Ovis aries: one gene and its partners. The protein of the gene in region 2 interacts with the protein of the main gene of each other region in a pairwise test. Links are inferred from orthologs where the notes say so. Each region holds a gene or a part of one and is shown on either strand. Other genes may lie near its edges.

Evidence for each region.
Region 1: the proteins of TNIK (region 2) and HARS1 interact in a two-hybrid assay, tested with the Homo sapiens proteins (2 studies listed by BioGRID and IntAct). The link is inferred for Ovis aries from reciprocal best matches to the Homo sapiens genes TNIK and HARS1.
Region 3: the proteins of TNIK (region 2) and GSE1 interact in a two-hybrid assay, tested with the Homo sapiens proteins (2 studies listed by BioGRID and IntAct). The link is inferred for Ovis aries from reciprocal best matches to the Homo sapiens genes TNIK and GSE1.
Region 4: the proteins of TNIK (region 2) and PPM1E interact in a two-hybrid assay, tested with the Homo sapiens proteins (2 studies listed by BioGRID and IntAct). The link is inferred for Ovis aries from reciprocal best matches to the Homo sapiens genes TNIK and PPM1E.
Region 5: the proteins of TNIK (region 2) and DPYSL3 interact in a two-hybrid assay, tested with the Homo sapiens proteins (2 studies listed by BioGRID and IntAct). The link is inferred for Ovis aries from reciprocal best matches to the Homo sapiens genes TNIK and DPYSL3.
Region 6: the proteins of TNIK (region 2) and SRGAP3 interact in a two-hybrid assay, tested with the Homo sapiens proteins (2 studies listed by BioGRID and IntAct). The link is inferred for Ovis aries from reciprocal best matches to the Homo sapiens genes TNIK and SRGAP3.
Region 7: the proteins of TNIK (region 2) and WWC1 interact in a two-hybrid assay, tested with the Homo sapiens proteins (2 studies listed by BioGRID and IntAct). The link is inferred for Ovis aries from reciprocal best matches to the Homo sapiens genes TNIK and WWC1.

Annotation. Positions count from the first base shown.
Region 1 is NC_056058.1:49,476,055-49,480,115, reverse strand, and holds the start of HARS1 (histidine--tRNA ligase, cytoplasmic), read left to right. Parts: upstream 1-1,261; 5' UTR 1,262-1,334; coding exon 1,335-1,424; intron 1,425-1,698; coding exon 1,699-1,788; intron 1,789-4,061. Other genes in the region: histidine--tRNA ligase, mitochondrial, read right to left, coding at 889-996. UniProt on the Homo sapiens protein: Catalyzes the ATP-dependent ligation of histidine to the 3'-end of its cognate tRNA, via the formation of an aminoacyl-adenylate intermediate (His-AMP). Plays a role in axon guidance.
Region 2 is NC_056054.1:217,053,465-217,056,964, forward strand, and holds part of TNIK (TRAF2 and NCK-interacting protein kinase), read left to right. Parts: intron 1-706; coding exon 707-813; intron 814-3,500. UniProt on the Homo sapiens protein: Serine/threonine kinase that acts as an essential activator of the Wnt signaling pathway. Recruited to promoters of Wnt target genes and required to activate their expression. May act by phosphorylating TCF4/TCF7L2.
Region 3 is NC_056067.1:11,173,734-11,177,233, reverse strand, and holds part of GSE1 (genetic suppressor element 1), read right to left. Parts: intron 2,082-3,500; coding exon 1,906-2,081; intron 1,495-1,905; coding exon 1,297-1,494; intron 798-1,296; coding exon 606-797; intron 250-605; coding exon 1-249.
Region 4 is NC_056064.1:9,415,059-9,419,046, forward strand, and holds the start of PPM1E (protein phosphatase 1E), read left to right. Parts: upstream 1-1,188; 5' UTR 1,189-1,340; coding exon 1,341-1,792; intron 1,793-3,988. UniProt on the Homo sapiens protein: Protein phosphatase that inactivates multifunctional CaM kinases such as CAMK4 and CAMK2. Dephosphorylates and inactivates PAK. May play a role in the inhibition of actin fiber stress breakdown and in morphological changes driven by TNK2/CDC42.
Region 5 is NC_056058.1:56,340,365-56,343,864, forward strand, and holds part of DPYSL3 (dihydropyrimidinase-related protein 3), read right to left. Parts: intron 3,333-3,500; coding exon 3,176-3,332; intron 2,484-3,175; coding exon 2,342-2,483; intron 499-2,341; coding exon 328-498; intron 1-327.
Region 6 is NC_056072.1:17,301,278-17,305,268, reverse strand, and holds the start of SRGAP3 (SLIT-ROBO Rho GTPase-activating protein 3), read right to left. Parts: upstream 2,801-3,991; 5' UTR 2,088-2,800; coding exon 2,021-2,087; intron 1-2,020. UniProt on the Homo sapiens protein: GTPase-activating protein for RAC1 and perhaps Cdc42, but not for RhoA small GTPase. May attenuate RAC1 signaling in neurons.
Region 7 is NC_056058.1:78,063,658-78,067,003, reverse strand, and holds part of WWC1 (protein KIBRA), read right to left. Parts: intron 1,664-3,346; coding exon 1,430-1,663; intron 1-1,429. UniProt on the Homo sapiens protein: Regulator of the Hippo signaling pathway, also known as the Salvador-Warts-Hippo (SWH) pathway.

The DNA of each region.
Region 1 (4,061 bases), on a different chromosome or scaffold from region 2:
TAGTATGATCTCCAGTTCTCAGTTTCCACTCAAAGAGCAAAAAATAAAAATTGTTAATAAGACAGCAATGGTCATGAGGCTTAGAGATAGGGAAAAAATAACTTGAAGACAGAAGAGAACCAGCCCAAGAACAGCCCATTCTTTTTCTTCCAAGAACAGAGAACAACGCCTGTGGAACAAACAGGAATGGATTTAAAAAAAAAAAAAAAAGATTAGTAGGATGCTGTGACTGCAAATAACAAAAGATATGCACCCTGTTGGTCATGATAACACAAAGCATGTACTAGGAAGTCATCCGTGTCTTTCCCAAGGTAAAACAGAATCTGTGATTTTATTACCAGCAGACTGTACACCCTTCCAGAAATATAGAGGGTGTAGTTCATACTTTGGCTGATTCTATCCTCCAAGTCAGGGCAGTGAAGCCCACAGCCCCTCCTAAGAATCCATAATCTTTGAAAACTACAAACTGGGATGAGGGAGATTCATTTTGAGGTAAATTCTAACCTGAACTCATCCTACTTATGGTCGTTAGTGGGAATGATCACATTCTTTGCTTAAAAAATTTTTTTAATGTGCTTGAACCCAAAAGGTTCAGATAAGGGATTGTGGACCTGTACTAAAACGCTCCCTTACTACGCAGCCACACAAGTCATTTAACCTTGCAGCCTCCGCTTCCTCATCTATAAAATGGAAATATAACCCCAACCTCTCAAGATTGCTTTGATGATTAAATAATAAAGCATCCTAAAGGCCTTAGCTCTGTGTTGGTACATGGAGGGCACTCACTAAATACCGACTGTAATACGGCTGGAGTACAGGCTTAAAGTCCATGCTTTCAGACCTGGAGATCCTGCCCCGACAGACCAGAGCTACCTCAGTCTGGCTCACCTGACTGTGAGAACGGACTGCCCTGATGCACACAGCACCGGGCGGCCGCCGGAGCTGGCCAAGGAACACAGTCCAGGCTCTCCCATGCAGGAGTCCGAGCTGGGGCATCTTGCGGCAGGAAGCAGGATTTCCGGAACAAGAGGCAAAGAACCTAAGAATGAAGCAGACAGGACCCCAGGAAGGGTTACAGGACACTGTGGAGGCGAAGCCGAGCACCAAAGATGAGATAAGTGCTTCTACACTTCTCAAACCTAGCACACTAGCTCCACTCTTCCCCGGCTCCCGCCCGGCCTCCGCACTTCCGGTAGGAGCCGGAAGTAATTTTTTATTGGGCGGTGGCTCTCTAGGCATATGGGCCAACTACTGGATATCCGGAAGTCCTCCGAGTCGAGGCTGTGGCCACCGCAACCTATCTAGCCAGCAGTCAGCTCCAGTCGGCAGCAAGTATGGCCGATCGTGCGGCGCTGGAGGATCTGGTGCGAGTCCAGGGAGAGCGTGTGCGGGGCCTTAAGCAGCAGAAGGCCAGTGCCGAGCAGGTACGACCCAGGCGGCGGGAGAGAGGACAAAACAAGGCCAGCGAGGACAGAGCGGGGGTGGTCAGCTCAGAGGATAGGGATCTGGAAGAAGGGACTGGACTGGTATAAATAGCAGGACGAGCTGAGTGGGGAGGTAGTTGGGGTAGGATTTGGGAGAAGCAAAGCTAGGAGAGAAATATGCTCCACATCCTGATGAGGAAGGGATACTGAATGAATGGCGGGAGCGGGAGGGAGTGGCAGATGTGGTAATCCAGCTCCTGCTTTCCCTCCACAGATCGAGGAGGAGGTGGCAAAACTACTGAAACTGAAGGCACAGCTGGGCCCTGATGAAGGAAAACCGAAGTTTGTGCTCAAAACCCCCAAGGTAAATATAATTCCTTTAGGGAGCCTCCTAGAGGGTCCCTAATTCCACTCACAGGACTCATATGCCTGCCTCCCTGAACCAGATCACTGAGAAGGATCTGAAATGTTGCAGAGGATACAGCAGTTGCTCTTGGCGCCAGGCTGAACTGGACTCTTATCTGAGTCATTCTGGGATGACAAAGTGATGGAAGAAACTAGGCCAGCTGGGTGCTTCGGGGAGTCTACTCCTCCTTTCATTCAGTAAATATTTACTGAGTGCTTACTGTGTTCCTAACAGTGTACAAAGCAGTGAGTGTACCATGGTGAACAATGTAGCCTGCCCTCAGAGAGCTTGGGCTTCCCTGGTGGATCAGTGATAAAAGAATTCATCTGCAATGCAAGAAACATGGGTTCGATCCCTGGGTGGGGAAGATCCCCTGGAGAAGGAAATGGCAACCCACTCCATTATTTTTGCCTTGGAAATCCCATGGACAGAGGAACCTGGTGGGCTACAGTCCATGGGTTCGCAAGAGTTGCACACAACTTAGCGACTAAACACCCACACACACAGAGCTTACATCCTGCAATGGAAACAGACTTGGGAAGAAAAATAATCCCACACATGGATATGTAATACAAGTTGTGTTAAGTTATGTAAAGAAATAGAAGGGATGCTCTGAGAAAAATAAGGGAGAACTGCAGAGTCTGAGGAAATAATAAACTAGTTGATCTGTAGATGAGTGGGAGACAGCCAGGTGAAGAATGTGAGGAAGATAGGTCCAGGCAGGGTAGGGAAATCCTGAAGCAAGAAAGAATCTTGGTACTATCCAAGAACTAGAAAAAGACTTTATGTCTGGAATCAAATAGGGAGGGACAGCAGAGTGGAATGAAGTTGCTAGCTCAGCCTCCATGATTTCAGTTCAGGTGACACTTTCTGTGAGTTCTATAAACCAGACTACTTACTCATCATCTAGGTACCCTTGGCACTTCATAAATACTGTTATTGCATTTATTGCTGACTTTTCAGTATTCACATGGTTGATTTAACCTGAGAGGCTGAGACTAGGTACCTGGGACTAAACAGGTATTCAATGAATGTATGTGAAATTTACTTCCACAGTAGGAGATGATTTGTCTTCCTTATGTGGAGATGTCACCTTTTAAGAGTAAATCTTTGGGCTCCTAAAATCACTGAGCTATTCTTTTCTACATGTAACTCATTTCAAACATTAAAAAGACAGTGTAAAAACCCAAGGCAGTAACCATCAATAGCTATTCAAACTACTGGGTGAAAAGATTAATGGGGATTTATTGATTGATCAGGCTGGCCTCACCTAAACCAGCATTTCTAAAAGTAGGACAACCAGATATTATATTCCACCAGATGTGATGCAATAAGAAGTACACACCACCACCTATGAAGTGTTCTTGCCAAGGACAACTGAAGCTGAATCTAAATCAGTTTTCAGATCTAACTACCAGTTTACTAGAAATATGGGAAATGGAGGAACACATGTTAAATGACCACCATTGAGTTTACTGTTAACCAAATCTAGAATGAGAAAAATCCTTTCAGAAAAATGACTCAATTTCCTCAACAAGAAAGGATAATTTAAAAAAAAAAATTGTTGCAGATTAAATAGACATGAGACACATCAACCCAGTAAAAGGCCTGAAGTTATTTAGAATCTGATTCAAACAAGCCAAGCATAAAAAGATATGACTGCAGCAACTGGGAGTAATAAACATGGTTTGGGCACTATCTAAAGGGTTGCTGTTAAGTGGACTGATCATAAGTTGTGTTGATTGTAAGAAAGGTATTACAGCGTTTTGTTTTTTAATCTTTGTATGTTAGAAAATCATACTGAAATATTTGTGATGATGGACCTAAAAAAAAAAAAAAGAAATATTTGTGGATGAAAGTATATGATATCTAGGATTTAATTTAAAATACTCTAGGAAAAAATGCTGGGCTTAGTTAAAAAATAGCAGATGTTGATAGTTGTTCAAGCGGGATAGTAGATACCTGGTGGTTCAGTGTATTATTCTCTATAATGTATGTTTGAAATTTTCCATAATGTTAAAAGAAAATGTGGATATAGTCAAGAGTTAATATCCACTCTAGTTTGTTGAAATACATTTCTTGATGTGTGATTCTTAGTTAACAAAAAACTCAATATTACAGGGAAAGGACTCTTTCAAGGGACCTTCCTGGTCAAAATTATTTTCATAATGTTACATGCCCTTTTCATTTCATTTGCAATGAAGGTGCAAAAGCACTGGTGTGTAGAACTG
Region 2 (3,500 bases):
ACAATTTCCAACTGTAGTTCACAGTCTAACTGGTACTTACATAGTTTTTTGAAGACCTTCCAGCAGTTTCATTATTAATCCTGTGTTTTAAATTACATTTGCAAATTGACCTCTGGAATCACAGTGGTAGGAGTTTGTTTTGAATTAGCAATTGCAACTTGGTTAGCAAGTGGAAATATTTAGGACCTATTCCAGTCATTTCTCTGAGCTCACTGAGCTTATGTCCCAAGTTCTAGTCTGATACCCTAGTTTCTCACCAGATTTCATAGTTTCCTCATCTGTTTATTAGTTGTGCTGTGAGTTAAAAATGGAACTCTGTTTATCTGGATGACTGTCATCAGATGCAGTTTCCAATGGCCAACTGAGTTCATGATACCCCAAAGAAATTTCTGGTGTCCACCACTCTTGTGCACACAAAGGAAGGCAATTATTTTAGCCCTGTACATCAAAGTAATTCACTTGCTGTGTTTCTAAATTTGTTTTTAACATTGAAGGCAATACTCATTAATAGTTGCTAAAATGTGCCTCATTGCCTTTCCTTTGATTTTGTTTAGGGAGTTAAGTATTTCTTTGAGATGTTTCTTTCCTGTTTCTGATCATTCCATGTCTCCTGGCAGATCCTAGGAAAGGAGTAGGCTGCATTTCAGGCAGTACCACATGGAAGTTATTTTATGGAAAATATTTCTGAATTCTGGTTTCCTTTCAGGTGCCTCAAAGAACAACTTCTATATCCCCAGCATTAGCAAGAAAGAATTCTCCTGGAAATGGTAGTGCTCTGGGACCCAGATTAGGATCTCAACCCATCAGAGCAAGGTAAGGGAAGGAAGATGGGTAAGGTGAAGGGAAGAGCCCCACCTACCGTTGTCATTACTGCTTTCCTAAAATACCACCTTTGTTCTTTTTTCACTTCTAAGGCATGTTGACTGGCCACCCGGACTGTAAATTTTGGTGGGCCAGAGGCAAGTCTTTTATTTCTTCAGTAGCCTTTCACAGAAACCAGTGTATAATGTGGGCTCATGAATGAATGAGCAAATGAATCACGGAATCAATGCAGAAGCCAGTCTGGCTTACCTTATTTGGCAGGTTTTCAAATGTGGGAGTAAAACTACAAATGAAGTCTGGGTGTGGTACCCCTGACCATTAACCTCAGGGACCGTGTGATGAAGCCAGCCAAACAAAGTGGCCTGATCTGAGATGATTTTTAGCATCAGGTCAAGAAACGTGCCCTGTGGCTCTGTGGTGACCGAAATAGAAAGGAAATCCAAGGAAGACAGTATATATGCATATATGTGTGACCGATTCACTTTGCTCTACAGTAGAAATTAACACAGCATTGTAAAGCAACTATACTCCAATTTACACGTGTACACCCGTGTCGGATCCATGTCAATGTATGGCAGAACCACCACAAGATTGTAAAGTAATTAGCCTCCAATTAAAATAAAGAAATTTATATTAAATAAAAATAATGAATTAAAAAAAGAAAGAAATGTGCCCTGAGGACTATTGAGACAGTAGAAAGTAATTAGCAAAGAGGACTTCCCTGGTGGTACAGTGGTTAAGAATCAGCCTGCCAATGCAGGGGACACAGGTTCAGTGCCATACCTCGTCTGGAAAGATTCCACATGCCTTGGGGCAACTAAGCCCATGCACCACAACTACAGAGCCCATGCTCTAGGGGCTGTGAGCCACAACTACTGAAGCCTGCAGGCCTAGAGCCCATGCTCCACAACAAGAGAAGCCACCACAGTGAGAAGCCCGTGCTCGCCACAACTAGAAAGAGCCCCGGCAAAGCAATGAAGACCCAACTCAGCCAAAAAGAAAGAAAGAAAATAATTGGCAAAGAAGTGCCATAGTGACCAGCTGCAGAGCTGTCCTAGTTTGGCAAATTGCAAAAGGACTAGTTCTCATGAGGAAGTCATCTCTGGAATTGTGGAGTGTCACTGAAATACAGTGATGCTCTTTGCTCTTCTGGAATTTTTTACCAACCATGTATATTCCTACAATCAGGAAGTTGCATCCACCTACTGGTGGGTGTAGAGGTCTGAACAGAAGCTGGAAAATAAACAATATCCTTACAGTATCACAGCAGATTTTATGGGGTAACAGATGCTGTTTGTTGCTGTCGTTCATCAAACTCCCCTCACATGTTTCATGAGTACACTCCTTTTTAGGATCAGCTGAAATAGCAAATGGCCTCTGTTGAGACTATAAAAAGGAACTTAGGGGTACTGTTTTATTCTTCATTGTGTTCATAAGAGGACAGTCTCTTGCTAGTCAAAGAAAAGAGACTGGAAATGAAGGTTATGACTATTTGTACAGATCCTAAAATATGGAATGGTTTTGATCATAAGGCTTTCATTTTTCTCTTCATATGAAAAGCCTTAGGAAGGAGTCAGTCTGTAAATAAGACAGAACTGTACTAAGAACATTCACCTCTGGAGGGCAAAGAAGCTAGCTCATTCTGAGTGGAGTTGCCAGTTGCAGAAGCTCTGAATTTTTTTTTGTCCAGCAGCTTGTCACCACCGAGCCGGTGCTGTGAGCAGGACTGAGGACCCCTTGTGTGGACTGTGACCAGGGAGTGAAAGGAATGTGAGGCTGGATTGCCAGCCTGAACTTTACCAGTCCTCCTCTCCAAGCAATAGTAAACCTCCAGTTATCAGGGCTTCTTGTTCCTTTGAACCCTGCCTTCTAGGCTGTGTTCATGAGATAAGTTGTTTAGAATTTCAGTTTCTGTACATCAAGCATCATTTCAACTTTAAGTCTTTTTCCCTCTATCAACCCAAAAGAAAGAGAACTGTGTTTCTCTAGTCAAATAAAAAGCAGTCCTTTGTTCCCTCTGAGATACTAATTTAATAACATTAAGGCTCCAAAATAACTGATAAGTGGTCGTGCATGCATGCTCAGTTGCTTCAGTTGTGTCCAACTCTTTGCAACCCCATGAACTAGAGCCTGCCAGTCTCCTCTGTCCATGGGATTCTCCAGGCAAGAATACTGGAGTGGGTTGCCATGCCCTCCAACAGGGGATCTTCCCGACCCAGAGATCGAATCCAAGCCTCCTGCATTGCAGGTGAATTCTTTACCTGCTGAGCCACCAGGGAAGCCCAATAAATGGTCAGTGGCTTGCAAAACATGTGCTTTTCCCTTGGAACCTCTTAAACGTTGTATTTTGTCCAAAGAAAGGAGATCTTGTGAATACAGCTAACATTTTTCTGCTTACAGAGAATGTAGGGAGGAAATGAACTTAGCAGTAATAATTATTTACCTGCAATGATAATCAAAAGCATTGCAGGGAAGGGGGGATGGAGAATCCCCGTCTCTGCCATGTAGTGTCGAACATGACTGAGCGACTTCACTTTTGCTTTTCACTTTCATGCATTGGAGAAGGAAATGGCAACCCACTCCAGTGTTCTTGCCTGGAGAATCCCAGGGATGAGGGAGCCTGGTGGGCTGCTGTCTATGGGGTCGCACAGAGTCGGACACGACTGAAGCGACTTAGC
Region 3 (3,500 bases), on a different chromosome or scaffold from region 2:
CTCCGCAGCGCGTGCAGCTCGGCCACGGGCAGGAAGGCCGGCTCCAGTGCCTTGGCGGCCAGCAGCTCCTTCTCGCGGGCGCGCTGCTCCCGCTGGCGCTCCAGTTCACGCTCCTTCTCGCGCTCCAGCTCCTTTTCGCGCTCGCGCTCCTTCTCGCGTTCACGCTCCCGCTCCTTCTCGCGCTCGCGGTCGGCCTCCCGCTCGCGCTCGCGCTCCCTCTCTCGCCTCAGCTCCTCGTCCACCTGCAGCCTGGAGGTAAGGACAGGGATGTGACCTCCGTGGCGGGAGAACCCCCAGGAGCGAGGCGCTCACACGTGAGCCCGGGGTTCTCCCCGCCCCAATGGGAACGGGCCGCGGGCCAGGTTCTGCTTTGGCTAACACGCCAAGAAAAAACTCAGCGTCCACTGGAGACTGAAAGCCGTGGACAGAGACTCTCCAGGAGCCTGGAAAGCTCCCGGCCGCAGCCAGCGATTGTGAGGACATGGCCTCCAGACAGCAGCTGGGAGCTCCCGGCAGTGCCCCTTCTGCAGACAAGCAGGCCGAGGGCAGGGGTGGCTGTCCAAGCACAGCTGGCCCAGCCACGCTCTCGAACGGGGCTCGCTTACCTCTCGGCGCTCAGGCTGGACATCCGCTCTGAGTGCAGCGCCGCCAGGGATGAGTGGGAGAGCTCAGGCGGGTAGCGGACACCCGAGAGGTGGAGGTGCATGGCCGACGGGTGCAGCGGGGGCAGGGAGCCGGGGGCAGGGATGGGGTAGAAGGGGGACCGCAGGGCTGACAGGCAGTAGGAGTCGTCCATCCTGTGGGGGCAGAGGGGGCCGGTGAGCGGCCACGGTGGAGAGGAAGGCAGGACCCAGCTCCCCCCCAGGCACAGGTACTAATGCGGGAGCGGCGGACAGGGCCTCCACAAAGGTCCCGGAGAGCCCCCTTCCACAGCCAGCCCCAAAGCCCTGCACTCCCAGAGGCCACAAGGCCCCGCCGGCCACCCCTCAGCTCAGCTGGGCCAGGCCCAGTGGGGCCCCTCCAGGTCTGACCATCTGACCTGGGAAGCTCCTACACAGAGTGGAGGCATAGCGCCGTCTGCTCCGGGCACTAACAGTCACGCGCGCCTGGGGAATCCTGAGTGGAAGTGGAGGAGCCAGGGAGGCCAGCTGGCGCGAGAGTCTCCCTCCAGGAGTAAGCTCTGGACGGCGCATCCAGAGGCTGGGGGAGCGGCCCACCCCACAGTCCCCCCGTCGGGGAACCTGGTCTCAGACCGGGGTCTGCCCGCGGGTGGCTGGGGACGTCCGGACGCCTCACCTGAAGGCCGGGTGCGGGAAGGGGTGCGGGGCCAGGTAGCTGGGGTGATAGTAGGCTGCGGCGGTGGCCGGGTCCAGGCCGAGCGGGGGCAGGGAGGACACGCGGAGGTCCTCGGCCGTGTGGTAGGGCCGGAAGCTCCTCAGGTAGTCCTCAGTCACCGTGCTGGGGGGTACCACGTGGTGCACAGGCCGCTGCAGGCTGCGGGCGGGAGGGGGCGGCGGAGGTGAGCTCCGGGCCCCTGGGCCACCGCCCAGCCCCCCGCCACCACCTCCCTCCTCGAAATGGCAGTCCCTGCCGGAGGCCCAGGGCCCAGAGGTGGGCAGCTGCCGCTCCTCGGGCCGGCCTGACCCCTCACCAGAGGGCACGGGTCTGTGACCTGCAGCGTGGGGAGACCACCCCCCACCTCCGGCCCTAGGAGCCAGGCTGGGGGGTTAGGGTCAGGCAGGCAGAGAGCCCGCCGCGGGCACAAGTGGCAACGGCCAGCAGGGCTGCCAGCCCAGGGCGCGGCCACCACCGGGCAGCTCTCGGGCTCAGCTGGTATCGACTCGCGGCAGCCAGAACCTTGGGGGTCCCACCCCACACCGTGCCCAACCCCCAGCCCACACTTACTTCAGCGGTGGGAAGCGGGAGTCCTGCACCACCGAGCTGGGTGAGATGCCGAAGGGGTAGGGGGTGCTGAGCAGGTGCGAGGGGATGGCCGGGCCCCCCGCCTTCTCCTGGGGCAGCGGGGGCTCCACGATGAGGCGCTCGCGGCCACTGCTGCCGCCCCGGGAGCTAGCATCCTGCTGGAGAAGAGAGTGCAGGTCAGGGCCGAGGGGCAGCTTGTAGCTCGGCCACCGGCAGTGGGCCAGGCCTTCCTCCGGACACACAAGAGCAGTCAAGCTTCAGGGAGACATTCTTGCAACAGTCTCCACGCCACGGTGGGGGTGACAGCCGCTGAGTCCCTGCCCACCGCCCACCCGATCACCCGATCATGCCGGCGTCCCAGGGGCCCAGGTGGCAGCTGCTGGCCTGCCTCACAGATCACTGGGCCTCAGTGCCCCCGGAAGATGTGGCTGAGCAGCTGGCGCTGCCTCGGGCCAAACAGGCCAGCCTGTTCCCCCCAGACAGACCCTGGTCGGCCCTGGCTCTGGCCAGAGCAGGCAGCTGTGGGGCCAGACCTGTCGGGGGACCTCTGCTCACTGGTGGGGGCTGTGGGCCCGCCTGCCCAGACTCCTGTCCAAGAGAGGGACCTGGGGCCTGGAGGGTTCAGTGGCGGGGAGACCCCAGGAAACCAGAAGGGGCTCATGCAAGGCAGGAAGGGAAAGGCGTTGCCCCACCAGCCCCGGCCACACAGAGGAACACCCTGCAGGCCCACCCGCAGGAATGTCCGGCTGCAGACTGGCAGGCCGTGGAGAGGCTCGGTCACTCCGGTCGCTGACACGGCCGGAAGGGAGCAAGCGGCAGGCATGGAGCGTTAACAGCCACTGGCCCAGGGTCCCGTCGCCACACGGCCAAGGAGGACGCGGCTGCCTGGCCTCCCCGACCCGAGAGCTCCACGCGCCAGGCCCTCCCTCGCCAGGCCGCATGGTGCCCTCCTCACCTGGCGTCAAGCCTGGCCCAGCCACCCCAGTTAGCAACAGGAGAGCAGGACGCAGCGGGTCAGGGAGACACCCTCCGCTGTCTGCCTGGCATCTCCCCCACTGGAGTCAGAAGATGGGGGCGGCAGAGCCTCAGGTCACCTCGCTCCCCATGCGGGGGGCACAGGAGGGACCACACAGCTCCCGGAGAGAGGAGGGGCCCACCCATCACCGTGTCTACGGAACACCCGGGCAGGCGGCTGTGGCACCTCCTGGGCCCCAGAAGACGGCAGCGGCGGGCCATGCCGTGGCCAGGCCGCCCGTGCTCCCACCCCGAATGGCAGGCCGCCCCTCACAGGGCGTGAACTCCGACACCCTCTTTCCCAGGCGGGCTTCACCAGGCTTGGGGGGTCGAGGGCGAGCCCCCCACGCAAGTCAGGGCAGGAAGCCAGCACTCCCCTCCAGTCCCCAAGGCCCTGGATGGGCCCCCATGACTGACCCTGCCCAGGGGCCCCCGCCTGCTGGACGTGCACAGGACGCGGGTCCTGCACATACAGCTGCAGCCCTTCACACCCCCGCCACTGGCACGGGGCACAGCCAGAACGAGAGGGGTGAGGCCTTGAACCCTGTGCCCGGGGTCTGGGC
Region 4 (3,988 bases), on a different chromosome or scaffold from region 2:
CTTGAAAATAATAGGTTTGTGTGTAGTTTGGTAAGAAAATTAGAATAATTTAAAGTTGTTTCAGTTTCAGTCTACAAAAATAGAGACTCAGGGGGATGGGGAAGAAGAGCAAACAAAATGTACCAAAAAATACAGATTATGTAATAAAGTATATATTTGTTGTTGAGTCACTAAATCATGTCGGACTCTTTTGCGACTCCATGGACTGTAGCCCCCCGGTTCCTGGGGTTTCCCAGGCAAGAATACTGGAGGGGCTTGCCTGTAGACACTCAAGAAGGGTGTCTTGATGTGCTGGAAATCTGATGGCTTAGTCCTTGTTGCATCGCAATATCTTGAAGTCTCAGTTTTTTCATCCATGGAGTGGAATCATGGTAATACCTTCTACCTGGAGGCGCTATTATAAGGATTAAGGGGATGAATATAACGCCTACACTATAAAGCTTTTTGAAAATAAGGCTTGATAGGTGTATTACACTTCTGAGTCTTCAAAGTCAGAGAAGAGTACAGGAAAAAGGGTCTAGAAAGGCTTTAGAAGCTGACAATCTGGGTTCCAATTCCCATGCCACGACTAGGAGTTTCCACACCTTGAAAAAAGAAATGCACTTAATCCTGCTTCCTCTTCTGGGGAAGTGAGGCTAACACCACTTCACAGAATCAGATGAGAGAAAGGAGGCAAAGGCACCCACCTTTGTAGATGTTGAATGCCTTCCCCTGCAAACTACTTATTAATGTCATCGACAGTAGAAGGTTTTCACACTGTGGCATCATTCCGCACATACGGACCCTAAGACAAGACAGGACAGATAAGGAAAACTGAGGTGAATCCAAATCGGGGAAGAGCAACAGCTAGACCGGGCGAACGTCTTAGTTCCCTCGTAACCACTTTGAGGTTAGGGTATCCACACAATGAAGGCATTCAGAGTTGGAGAGGGGACCAAGTCGAGTGCCCCTTTCGACTCCGTGGACTCGACGGGAGGGACCCTGAAATTCTTCCTTAGAGGCCGGTTGCCATGGCGACGGTCTCTAGGCAGCTTGGGCTGCTCTCTCAGTAGGGCTAGAGGGTGGGCCTCCGCCGGACCCCGCGCGCGCGCCCGAGACCAACTTTCCCTCCAGACCCGCGAGGGGCGGCGCGCTCCGCCCCCCGGCCCCGGGCCGCGCACGTCCGGGCTCGGCGGCGCGCACGCCTGCGGGAGCCCTCTCCAGGCAACCTAGTGCTGATCGCTCGTGCCGGTGCGGCCGTTAACCGCCCTTGCGGGAGCCGGAGGCTCGCCAGCAGCCCCCCTCCCCTTCCCGGGCCTCCCCCACCCGTTTCCCCGGTCGGCCCTGGGGCATGAGCAGCGATGGCCGGCTGCACCCCTGAGGAGAAAACTTACCGGCGCTTCCTGGAGCTATTCCTGGGCGAGTTTCGCGGACCGTGCGGCGGCGGCGAGCCCCAGCCGGAACCCGAACCCGAAGAGTCGGAGCCCGAGCCCGAGCCCGAACTGGTGGCGGCTGAGGCGCGCGAGGCGTCGGTCGAGGAAGCCGGGGAGGCGGCGGCCGCGGGGGCCGCGTCGGAGGAGGGGGAGCAGGAGCAGGAGCGAGAAGACCCCGAGCCCGAGGAGGAGGCGGTGGAGGAGGAGGCGGCGGCGGCGGCGGGCGAGGAGGCGGCGGCCCGGGGGCAGTCGGCCGTGCCGCCGCCGCAGCCCCGGCTGCCGCCGCTGCCCCCGCTGCCGCGGCCACTGTCGGAGCGCATCACCCGCGAGGAGGTGGAGGGCGAGAGCCTGGACCTGTGCCTGCAGCAGCTCTACAAATAGTTAAGTAGCGGGGCTCGGCCGGGGGGTGGGCCGCCGTCCCCGCCGCGCCGGCCTCGACGCGGCTCCCTCTGCCGCTCGAACTGCTCGCTTTTCCGCTCCTCATTCCCCCGCCCGCCTCACGCCGGCGCCCTGGCGAGGCTGGAGGCGCCCCCGCTGCTCGGACTCGGGCGGTCGGCGGCGAGATGCCCACGCCCGCCGCGGCCCCCGCGCCTCCCGCCGGGCCCGGGAGCCGCCCCCCGCGCCCTCCCGCCGGGCCCCGGGCTTCCCGCTTCTCCCTGGCCGCCCACTTCTTTCTCCACTTCTCACACCTTTTCTGCTTGGTGCCTGGGAAGGTCCTTCCTTCTAGTCTTGAGAGCTCCCTCTTCCCAGCCCTCTCCTTCCTCCTGGAGGTTTTCCTCCCACCCGGGTCTGTCTTTTTCCTGGCGCGAGTCGCCCCCCCCGCCCTGTTGTTTGGCGGCGGAGAGACGCGGTCTCCTTTCTAGGCAGGAGCTGCTTACTGGGTGCCTCCTGCGTAACCGCAACAAAGATGATAATCCCGGCCCCAGATCCACAAGAGGGGAGACTGGAGTCGATATTCTTCTGTTGGGCGCTCAGTGTTGAAAGTGTAGATGGCTTAATATACGGAAGCCTCGTATCGTAGTTTAATGATACTTGATAACTCATAATTGAGGGAGGTGGGAAGGAAATGAGGAGGGACGATAAGGAAAATTTTACCTGCGAGCCTTCAGGTGAAAGACAGAGTCGCAATTCGTTAAAGTGGAAAACTCTGGCTGGTTTGATAAAATTGCAATTAGGTGCAGTATTTTCAGTCCATTAAGTAGATGGGGTAGAGAGAAAGCAGATGGCTTAGCTACACAGATGAAAGTCTAAAATAGAAAGGTCAAGGCTTTGCCTTTCATCCCAGTTTTTATGGGCCTGAAATAGAAGCAGTTTACAATTGCGTTTCTTTCTAAATGGAATTGTTCTGAAATAATGACAGAGGAGAATACTAACAAGTTTCTGAGAACACTGGTAAATCTCGGGAGCCTTTTGCCATTCTGCTGATAGTTGTAATGAAAGATGTTACTCTGTCCCCATCAAAAAGTTTACTATTGCAAGATTCACTGCAGTTAAGATCACTTCTTGGATTTTTTAAAACGCTTAGATTAAGAAAAGGACCTGGAAAGTAAAGGTTTTGTCTTCTTCCAACCTAACAGACACCTGATCAAATCATTCTTCCTGTTAAAACAGAAGCTTGTCAACAAGAAAAAACACTGAACATATATGCTGTAAAAGTGGACTGTGTTGATACTTTATACACTATTGAAATTTCAATTTTGAAATCCTATCTGGTTACCAAAGTAATACTGCTTTGGGAGAAATGTGAAATGGCATGTAAAAACATCTTAGGAGTATTTCTTCCTAGTGTTTGTAAACAACTGTAGAATGGAGTTTATGAAATATCATTTTTAATACTATATAGACACTTAAGACTTCTCGCTTAAAATAAAATGGAATTGTTTAATGAAGTGGAAAGATTTATCTTAGCATCAGACTAACTCTACTTTGACAATTTTACCTTTACAAATGAATTAAAGAAATACACATTTAAACATTAGAGAAGGTCCATTTCAAAAAAAGAGTTATTAGTTTAGAAATATGTACCATTCAAGGTTTTGTAAAAATGAAATCTGTATGAAGATGATGGTAGGTAGATGTGTGTTTTGCCACATGGAAGGGAAGCAAGATTTTCAATACATGTATAAACCAGAAAAGTATTCAGATTATAAAATGACCATCTAATTGAGAAAGTTTAGATTTGAAGTAAAACTAGCAAAATTGAAGTTGGAAAACATTATTTCACCTTAAATCAAAGATTTCATCATGTATACTGTTTTGTGCAGAAGCTATTATGTTTTACTCAGATATAAAATGCCTGGCTTGTTTATGTAAAGTATCTTCAAGGTTGTTAACAGACAGAAAAAAAACAAAACAAAACCCAAAAACCTAAAAGTCTCACAGTTTAAAAACACATACTTTTTGTGCTTTATTATTTATGAAAGAAAATCATACAACTTGGCCACAAGAATAAGTACTGGAAGGCATTGTAGAGATAGATCGTTTTCCTGTTCGCTTCGTTTTACAGAAGAGAAAACTGAGGATCCCGATTCAGAAATGACAAATTATGTACAAATGGTTTTCCAGCATTTTTAAAT
Region 5 (3,500 bases), on a different chromosome or scaffold from region 2:
CTTTGACCAGTGCAGGGGGAAAGCTTTCAGGGCCGCATCCCGGTCCCCAGGCTCAGCAGTCATATAGCGCAGGTAGAGAGGGTGCCTATATTGGCCCCTGCCCTGAGTGACTGTGATGGGCAGAGCCCCTCTTTGCCCACCTATTTTGCAAAGCAGAAGTGAGAAATAAACTGCTGAGCTTTTATATCCCTGGGAATTCAGGATGATTGGTTATTGCAACACATCCTCGCCCAATAACCCTGGATCACCACAAACTCACATCTCTCCTGTCCCTGTTCCCCACCCATGTTCCCCACTCTACTCCACGCCCACCCACTCAGGCCATACCGACTGGTGGTTCTTGGCAGAGACAATCTTGACAGCATCTGGATCCCAGATCACCAGGTCGCTGTCAGAGCCCACGGATATTCTTCCCTTGCGAGGATACAGATTGAAAATCTTGGCAGCATTTGTGCTTGTCACGGCCACAAACTGGTTTTCATCCATCTTCCCTGTGGCCTGTAAAAATACACACACACACAAAATGATCCTTCCAGGGCTTCTGAGTTCAGAGCAGGGTGACCACAGTTCAGTTCAGTTTAGTCCCTCAGTCGTGTCCAACTCTTTGCGACCCCAAGGACTGCAGCACGCCAGGCCTCCCTGCCCATCACCAATTCCCAGAGTTTACTCAAACTCATGTCCATTGAGTCAGTGATGCCATTCAACCATCTCATCTTCTCCTCCTGCCCTCAATCTTTCCCAGTATCAGGGTCTTTTCAAATGAGTCAGCTCTTCACATCAGGTGGCCAAAGTATTAAGAGTTTCAGCTTCAATATCAGTCCTTCCAATGATTCTGTAGCTCACTGGGTGGGCTTAGGCCCAGAAATACAAAGAGGGGCTTCAGAAGTGGTAAGCACAGAAGTCCACCCCAGCTACAGAAGAATCAGCTGTAGCTCTGGGCTGTCCGGATCACCCAGACAAAATGGACAAATGCATGGCCGCATGGCTTAGGATGGAATTTACTGCTCTGGAAGTATGCATGTTTTTTCCAGATATGTACATACATTTACTTACTTATTTATCCCTTCTAAGTCCAAAAGGGATTATAGAGATTTCAAAGTAAAAGCAAATGTAACTGTGAGCCCATATTTTAGATATTTCTATTTGCATAGGCACCCAATAAATATGGAAGAACCTTGCCCAAATGAAAACAATGGTTATCCCTGGGTTATGGAATTCTGAGTGATTTTTTTTTTAATGTGTGAACTTTTCTGTGGTTTCCAAGTGTTCTTTATTCAGCAGGTATCATGTGAGTAATTTTAAGATATGTATTACCTTTTAGCAGTTCCAGATAGTGCCAAAATAATTATATATACACATATACTCATAAATACATAAAAATGTAAGAAAAGATGAAAAAAGTTTATATGAGAAGAGACAAAAATATTTATACTTTCCCCCTTTTCAAAACAGAAAGCTTGGGTAAGGAAAGAATTTAGTTTAAAATCTAGTTTTGACCTTCCTGGGAACCAAGAGGGGGAAAAAAAAAAGGAAACTTGGATTACATGGTGTAGATGTGTATTTTATTTGGCTCTGAAATGAGTGTCTAGGATTTTTTAAATAAAACAGAGGGAAGTGATCAACTTAATAATGAGTTTTATAAAGGTCAGTTAAATCTTAGGAAGTGACTTCATTTGCATGGCTATGTTTTTTGTCAGCTTCTCTGATGTTAACAAGGAAAGTAAAACCACACCACTTTGCCAGAAGACTCTGACAATTACCTGTACACTCTGGATGACCACACAGCCCAGTGCAGGCCGTTCTTGGTGAGCAAATGACTTGAGTTTTGGTCACAGACCCCTCACCTATCATGTCAAAGGATTATAGCCAATCCTTTATTCGTACCATCAGATGAAGGATGTGTTTCTGGTTCACGTGCATGCATGCTAAGTTGCTTCAGTCATCTCTAACTCTTTGCCACCCTATGGACTGTAGCTCGCCAGGCTCCTCTGTCCATGGGATTCTCCAGGTGAGAGTACTGGAGTGGGTTGCCAGGCTGTTCTCCAGGGGATCTTCCCAACCCAGGGATCGAACCATCTCTTACGTCTCCTGCGTTGACAGGCTGATTCTTTACCACTAGCACCACCAATTCGTAGTCCTTCACAATCTAGGAGGCCTCCTGAGAACCCAGCCCTTGGGACTCATCACTCTAGAAGGGACATTCACAAACCACCTGGTTCCAGAGATACCTGGGCAGGTACGAGGCCTCATCTGCACACCCAGCGCCCCCAGGGGTGGAGAGGAGCAAGGAGCAGACACTCTGATCTGGCCTCAGCTGCCCTCCTGTGACCTCCATCCTCACCACAGCCTTGTCCCAGATGACAGACATGCGCTCCTCCACACCGTTGGTGCCCTCGGGAATGGCGGTGAAGTTGTCCTTCCCGATGGCTTTCTGGGCAGTGCTGAAGGTGCAGTGGGCACTCCCAGAGAGCTGCAGGTCTCCACTGGCCAAGGAAAGAGATCCATGTGAACTAGGAGACTAGAGGCTCCCCAGGGGCCCAGAAACAAGAGTCTAGGGTAAGGATGTGGAGTGCCGTGCATTGAGTTTGGAATCCTTCCCCTCCCTCTTGCCAACTGTGAACTTGGGTGATTTCTTTCACTCCCTGGGACTCAGTTACCCCATCTGGAAAATGAGGGGAGTGGATTAGATCACTTCTTATGTAACAGTAAAAAAGGGACCCAGACGAGTGATGGGACTTATCCATAGAGGGCAGCAGCAAACAAGTCTCCCTATAATTTTGGTTCGGTGGTCCTCATGACCAGCTGTTAAAACTAGGGAAGTGATTTGTTTCCTGGACCTCCAGTAGGCTCAATCTGTAAAACAGTGATGATAGTTCCTCACTCAGGGTGATGTTTGTTGTAAGGAACATTGAGATCACATATGTAATCTCACTCTAGTGCTTGGCAAACAATGTGTATTAACTGCTGTTACCATTACTAAAATGATTACTAGAGTATCTTTTAAAATACAATGGCAGAGAGCCCATTGTCTGTGCTCAGCACTGCAGGGGAATTCCCGATGTGCTTTTCTTACTGCAGACTCTAGTCTAGCTGATGGATGGGTGGCCCTGGTCTCCATTCCACTGGCCCTAAGACGTCTCCACGCAACACCCACTGCTTGTCATTCTGCACCAACCTGGCCAGCAAGGAGTTGATGTAGTCTGGAGTGGTCGGGTCAGGACTCAGAGGTGGGGATGTCACAAATGCAGCCGCCTTGGCCCAGTTCTTGCTCCAGTAATGGGTCCCATCTGTGCCCAGGCTGGCAGTGATGGGCTCACCAAAGACCACGTTTCCTGGAAGGGGTGGGTGAGAGGCAATGGGTTTGCATAATGTATGTGCTGCCCTGGGACTGGCTAAGATAATCATGGCCCCTACTCAGCCTTCTCAAGGCTCTGAAGTCAGGCAGGTGGGGTTCAAGCACACATTCCCAGATTTCCTAAGCCTTTGCTTTTCTATCTTCT
Region 6 (3,991 bases), on a different chromosome or scaffold from region 2:
AGAGGAATAAAATGAAACTCTTTTAACCAGAATGCAAAGACATTTAGAGTTTAGAAGAGATAAGATCATTTGGACAAATTTCCTGCTGAAATGCATTACCCTGCCCTTGCTATTTAGACGTTAAAATAAACACAAAAGGTAAAAAGTAAAAGAATCACTCAGAGCTACAAATGCTTAATTGATCTTCAAGCAGAGTTCACGGTCCAGTGGTAGCAATCCTTCAAAATGAGATAAGTACATTTCCTACCAAGCCGATGCTTATAAAAACCCCAAACTATCCCAAGCTCCGCCTACCCTTCTCTCTGATGGCATTTTTCATGGGAAACTCAGTTTTTAAAGAAAAAAATAAATATCAGCCTGATTAGTCTTACAGAACATAAACTCCCTAAAAAGCGTGCAGGCTTCTGTATTGAGCAGTCAGAGAATTCAAATCTCTGACCAATAAAACGGTGGATTTCTAAATTTTCAGCAAGGCTGAAACCTTGTAAGTCACTGTTTTCCACAGTGAACTGAAAACTGCAGAGGAGGAGCCCAGGGAAGAGCAGGGTTTTCTGCTCATTTCTCCCTGGGGTCTACCGAGAGGTGATTTGCATGCTGGGTTTGACCAGAACTAAAAGACACAAGACGGTTGGCAAGGCTGGAAAAAAAAAACAAAGCTCTCCCCTGATGGGCTGCTCCCCTCCCAAAGTTTCCCAAGCATCTGAAGCATGGACAGCAGCTGTGATGCGCGACCTCCCAACGCTCCTGGGGAAGCCACCCGACTTCCTGGGTCACTGAGCCTTGAGCAGCAGCAGCACCTAGAAGTAGGTGTGGAACCTCAGGTCACCAGAGCAACAAATAACCAACTTGCACAATAGTCCTGGGGTGGGGGCAGGCATCAGCATCCCCTGAAGATGTACTCGGTCCTTACTCTTTCTACAAGAGATCACAACACACCCTATGTCACAGCAAGGAGAACCATGACCAGAAGGAAATCAGATGCCGAGAGGCCCAGGATTCCCTTAGGGTATATCCTAAAAGAAACGGTGAGCATGCTGGATGGTGCTTTCATGGTTTCCTTGCCAAAGCTGAGCCTAGGACTCACAAGGGTGCGAGAAGCCCCAGTCTGGCCTGAACAAGGAATCTACCTGAATTTGTCTATGCAATTGTGTCTGGTTTCCTCTTTCCCCTTGCTAGTGTGGATTTAGGGAGCGGCTTCTGAGAGGAGTGTGCACCCCGTGAGTGGCACTGAAGCTGCAACAAGCAGCCAGAGGTCATCTCAGCCTCCTGGCAGCTTTCACTGGCACTACGGAAGCCAGGCAGCATCTACCAGCCGGCACACTGAACTGCTGGTTTTCAATGAAGGCTGATGACCCTAAACACTAACGCACAGACAGTGATGGGGGCCACACACTGCGAGACAATACATTTTCTGCACTGAGCTCCCTCTTTATGCCTAAATGCCTGCATTAGTTTGGATCAATATGCTCCATAACAGTTAATCCATGGCAACCCCGACAAAGAAGTGCAGCCCAGGGATGCTGCTTCCCATAGTATACGCATGTGAATTCCAGACCAGAGAAAGGGGCAGAGGCAAAGCAACGACAAAAAACAGAAAGGAGAAAGAGGAAAAAAAAAAAGCAGATCACAAAAAATATACATCTTATTATGGGGATTTTTGCATGGCGGGGGGAGGAGGTAGTGACTGTCTTTGGCAGTGACTGTCAAAATGGCCTGAGAGTAACATGCCACGGCCAAGATGATGGAGTATCTGAGACACTCCTAAAGCCGGGTGTAGGATCCTCCTCACACACCTGCAATGCAGTGATCGCCGCCCGTTCTACAGTCCATACTCCCAGCGCCAGCGCTCTCTGCAGTCGAAACCAGTCCGGACTTGTGCAGCTGCCACTGTTCCTCCTCACAATAAGATTATTGATGCATAACAACATTTCATGATGGCAGGGAGGAAAAGAGGGAAAAAAAAGCCAAAGCAAGAGAAGGAAAGGGGAGGGGAGGCATGACTCCCCAGCCCGAATCTCACCTTTTATTTGGGCTTCATATTCGGCAATGATCTCTTTGTCTTTCTTGAACTTAGTTTGAGATGACATCTTCCAATGTGGCCAAAGGCACTGACAGGCTGTTGGATTTATTGCTCCTTTTCTTCCTGAGTCCTCGCTCCAACCCTAGTAATCACACGGCTCTGGTCGATTTCACAGGTGTAGGGGGCTAATCTCTTTCACTCAGATGCAGAGCCAGCGGAAAAATCCCTCTCGTTCTCAGAGGAAATTTCTCTTTACTCGGAGAGAAAAATGTCTCAAGTAGCTTGGTCTGGTCAACTCCTCTTGCAGAAGAACCACCACCCTAGGAGCACAGTAACCTGCCCAAGATTTTCAAGATTTTTCTTCCAAAAAAATAATAACCAAGAGCACTCACCCTCACACACTCTCTCTCTCACACACACACACACACACAGTCACACACTCACGCGTGCACTGGTGCACTCATCCAGCCATGCACACACGCAGTCGTGATGCACACTCACACACCCTCACACCCGCTCACCCTCTCACACACACTCACACACACACACACACACACATCCACAAGAGGCGCGGCGCCTCCTTGGTCCTGCAGTCAGCCTCCGGCTGGTTTTCCAAGGCTCTGTTAAAGAGATGGTCAGGTTGCCAAAGGGCCGATCATCTCGCATCCTCCCTCCCTTCGGCGCCTCTGGTCCAATATACAGTGAGGCTCAAAGCCAGGAGAGCGAGGTGGAAGTTCTCCTGCTGCAAGACTTAAGCTCCGGTGAACCGGAGGCTGGACTGCACGCCCTGCAGGGCTGGCTGAGCGCTCCCCCACCGCTCTCGTCATCAAGCTCCACCTCCCGGATTTTATAACAACTGACACATTGTAGCCTACAGGAGAGCAGAACTCACTGCAAGCAAAAAGAGGAAGAAAGGCTCACAAAAGGGAAGGAGGCAGGAAAAAGAACTGGGCTGGGGAGGCCTGAGAGGCCCCTGAAGACTCCTACCATTGGCAGTTGGGTTAGGAATTCTTCCTCCAAAAACTCCAAAAGGTCCACCTTTTTCTTGCAACATGCAATTTAATTCAATTTCTCAAGCAAAGGCTATGTGACAGTTTGTCACTCTGCCTGATTGTCTAGCGGAGGAGAGGGGCTGATCCATGTAGGCAAGCTCATTAATATTTGTGGAGCATTATGGGGCGGCAGGGACAATGCCAAGTGTCTCAGACATGCAGCTTTGCAAAGCCGTTGGGAGCAGGCTTGCTGGAAACCCAGCCACCTCAGGACAAGGGTTTAGCAGGACGCAGGGCAAATCAATAACTCATTGAGCCTCAGTTTCCTCACCAGTAAAATGGTTCTTTTTGGAGGATTTTTTCATTCTTTCTTTCAACATGTATTTCAGTTTAATATAGGTCAGGCATCGTTCTGGGTATGGGGACATGGCAATGATCAAACTAGGCAAAAAAAAAAAAAGATTCCCCACTTCTGGAGCTCCACAGTCTCCACATCACCCAACTCTGGGAAGTCAGCACTAGTCATGGTAATAATCTCAGTAAAATCAGCCCCAAGCAGAGCTCAGAATGCATCGTGAATGGTGCCTTCTGGAACTGTGCAAGGCAAGAGGCCCTAGGAGGGGAAGATGAAAGATAAACAAAATGAGAAATTTATGTATGATAGAAGATGATAAGTGCTGTGAGGAAAAAGTATTGCAGGGTAGGGGCCTTCAGGAATGAGGGAGCTCTTGGGGGCTCAAGTAAGAATGCGAAGCTAAGCTTAGCACGGAGCATGGTAATAAGCACTCAGAATACCCCTCAGCAAACCCATAACATAGTGCCCGTGAAGGAACAGGAACAGATACGGGAGGTGACTTGCCCAAAGTCACCAGCATTCGCTCCCGTGCTGTATGACACCAGATTCTGCCCATGAATATGTGCAAAGTTTGCTGCATTCTACTGGAGAGTAAACGCATTTCACACGCACTCAAGGCAGAAT
Region 7 (3,346 bases), on a different chromosome or scaffold from region 2:
TTATTATAACTCTGATATAATAAACAAGAAAGAAATAAATGTTTGGGGAACTTCTGATTTACTAGAGTCAATTTGAGGCTCCCACAAGTCCAGACCTAGGAAGCCCAGCACCACCTCCTGCTTTATGTTATCACCTTAATTGAGAGTCGGAATTTTAGCTAATGGCCCTCCCAACAATCCAGTGAGGCACCCTCTGGAAGGCGCTCTTGTATTGCTTGGCTGTGTGCAGAGAAAACTAGCAAAAGCTTGTCATTTCTGCCATGGACAGCCATCCTGGCAGGTATGAAAGGAATGAGGCAGAGATGGCCTCTGTGTGTTAACCCTATGGTGTTTTATTTCTTCACCACAGTCTGGGATCTGTTAGCTAAGAGCCCACTGGTGTCAAAGACAAATTTTTACCCATCCAATTGTTTTAAATGAAGCTCAAATAGCAGTTTGGTTTTTCTTTTTTTTTTTTTTTTAGACTTTTAGAGCCTGCCTGTTACCTATACCCCCTAAAAGTGCACCCAACATCTGCTAGTCTAGATGTGCTAAACCCCAGGACTATAAAAGACTCCAAACTCTTGCTGCTTTGTTCTCCAACCCAAGACTTCTCATGGTGCTCCAAGTCACATCATCTCCAAGTCTAGGTCCCCTCTCCAGCTCCCTTTTCCCCTGGGAGTTCGCCTGGTCTCCTCCTCTCTAGGTCAGTCAGTTCAGTTGCTCGGTCGTGTCCGACTCTTTGCGACCCCATGAATCACAGCACGACAGGCCTCCCTGTCCATCACCAACTCCTGGAGTCCCCTCTAGGCAGTGGAGCCAAAACAGCTGCCTCTGGAGGCTGGGGGTGGGGGCGTCTCATGCAGTGTGAGACCTTCCCAAATACACACCTGTGAAAGCAGCAGCCACCCAAATTCAACTCATCGTATGCTCTGGCCCCTTTGTGGTTGTATCTTTTTTCTTGAGCAACGCTGAGATCTCCCCAGCTCACTACGCTACGGATGAGACGCCAGGAGGCTTGTATCCTCAGGCGTCTTCATCAGGATAAAACCCGGCCAGGACCCACTCCTCTCCCCTTTGGAGAAACGTGCTCTGTGGGACTGGGTAGGCAGGCACGAGGGCAAGTCAGCGTTTTTATTTCCTCTGTGCAAGTGTGTGCCCCAGCGTAGATAAAGTGCCCCCCAGTATGCCTGATGAAGGACCAGCTGCTGGAATAAACGTGCGAGTAATAAGGGCTTGCACACATAGACGGGAATGCAGCAAAAGAACCTGGCAGCAGTAAACAGTGAATCAAGCTTCCTGGGGGAGGGATTGCTGGCTTCCTTTGCTGATGAGCTTGAGGGGCTCTGGGAGCACTCTCAGTGAGTCACAGAACTGCAGGACCCGTTCAGGGCCCTCGCCGCCCTCCCTTGCAGCGGCGCGCCCTGTGTTCCCGCGGTTCGCCACCCACCCGCTTCTCCAGCATCCTCAGCAGCAGGCGGAAGCGCTCGTCCTCCCGCACCCACTGCGGCAGCTCCTTCTCCCCGTGGCTCTTGGCTTGTTCCAGCTGCTCCTTGAGCTCCTTCAGCACCGAGATCTCCTGAGTCAGCTGGCTGTGCCAGGTCCTGGTGGCCTGCAGGTCCAATTCGAGGTCCAGCGAGGTGCGTGGCAGGCGCTCAGCGCGCAGGGATTTAACGGACGAAGGCTGCGGGGGTGGGGATGGTTTGGACCGGTTAGTACAAGGCCGGGTCCACTGACTCTGTGCTCTCCCCTGCTCTGGAGGTCAGCTTATCCTCCTTCATTCATCAGAGGGCTTCCATTCCAAAAGTGAGGCTCGCCCAACCCCTGGGAGCCTGTTTTGATTTTTTCCAGGTCTACCCCTCATATTAGTGAGCATTTTTATATCCCAGGCATGGTGCTGGGTGCTTTACTTCCATTACCTGAGTTCATTTTCACAACCCTATGAGGTCCTGACTGTTATCATGTGCACAGATGAGGCTCCCAGAGGTTAAATCACACACGTTATAAGCAGTGAAGCTGAGATTCCACCCCAAGCAGCTGGCTCCAGATCCCACCCATGCACTCCCTACACGCAGTTGCTTCCCTTACTCTCACTGGCTTCCATCTACTGCCTGAGCTCTGCCTCTTTCTGCGTCAACATATCCAGACAGGTTTCTGAGACTGGACATGGGCCAGAGCAAAGGAAATAGCAACCGACTCCAGTATTCTTGCCTGGAGAATCCCATGGACAGAGGAGCCTGGCGGGCTACAGTCCACAGGGTCATGAAGAGCAGGACATGACTGATGATAGTACAGGGGCAGCAGAGCTAAGCAAAAGCATCTTCAGGTGAGACCTGGAGTCACTGAGATCACTCAGCTGGATCTCCCCGCCTTGCTCATTTATAAGCACAGACTAGACAATGGTCACCCTAGAAAAGCACAGAACCACTCCATTGAGTGGTTTCCTGTTCCTAAAAGCATGCTGGCCAGCCTGAAGTGAGGACAGGTCTCATAGTTAATGTCTTATGTATTAATACCATTTAAAAAATCACTTTATTGGGCGTTGGATTGGTTTTCTGTTACTGCATAACAAATTATACAAACTAGCAGCTGAATGTAATGCAAACTCACTATCCCACATTTTCAGTAGGTAGGAGTTTAGACAGACACAGGTTGGCTGAATCCTCTGCTCAGGGTCTTATGAGGCTGAAATCTAGGTTCTGACTGAGTGCATCCCTATCCGGGGGTTTGACGAAGGGATGATTTGCAGCCAGGCTCCCTCAGGTCCTGGGTAGAATTCATTTCCTTGCATTTTCTCACTCAGCCGCTGACCAGGGGCTGCTCACAGCTACTAGAGGTCCTCTCAGGCCCTTGCCTGGTGGCCCTCTCCACAACATGCATTGCTCAGGCAGCTAGTGGAGGAAGGTCTGCAGTGTGCACGGGTCTTGGCCCAGCCTCTGGACACCCCTGTGCCTCAGGACATAGAAAGGCCCTGAAGGGAACATGGGCTCAGACTAGCTATCAGGGGTCCCCTTTGCAAGGCATCCCCTTGGCTGAGCAGAAGAGGAAGTGAAGAAGCAGGAACTTCTGTGGGGCTTGCCTTGCGGCGGGGGGGGAGGGGATGTGTGTGTGTTGGTGGTGGGGTTGTAAGACATGCAGGGGGTACTGAGTAGGAGCTCCTCGGTGTCATTTCTCCAGGAGTGGATCACGGAACACCTGCTCCAGAATTCTGAAGAGGAGCCTATAAAAATGCTGCTTCCAGGGCCACACCACAGCTGCCTGGATGAGGTGGCCTGGGAGTGCGGCCTGGGATTCTGCATCATCAACAAGCTCCCAAGGTGACTCGGTGCCCCAGGGACTGGAGTGCCAGCCAGCCACAGCAGACGGG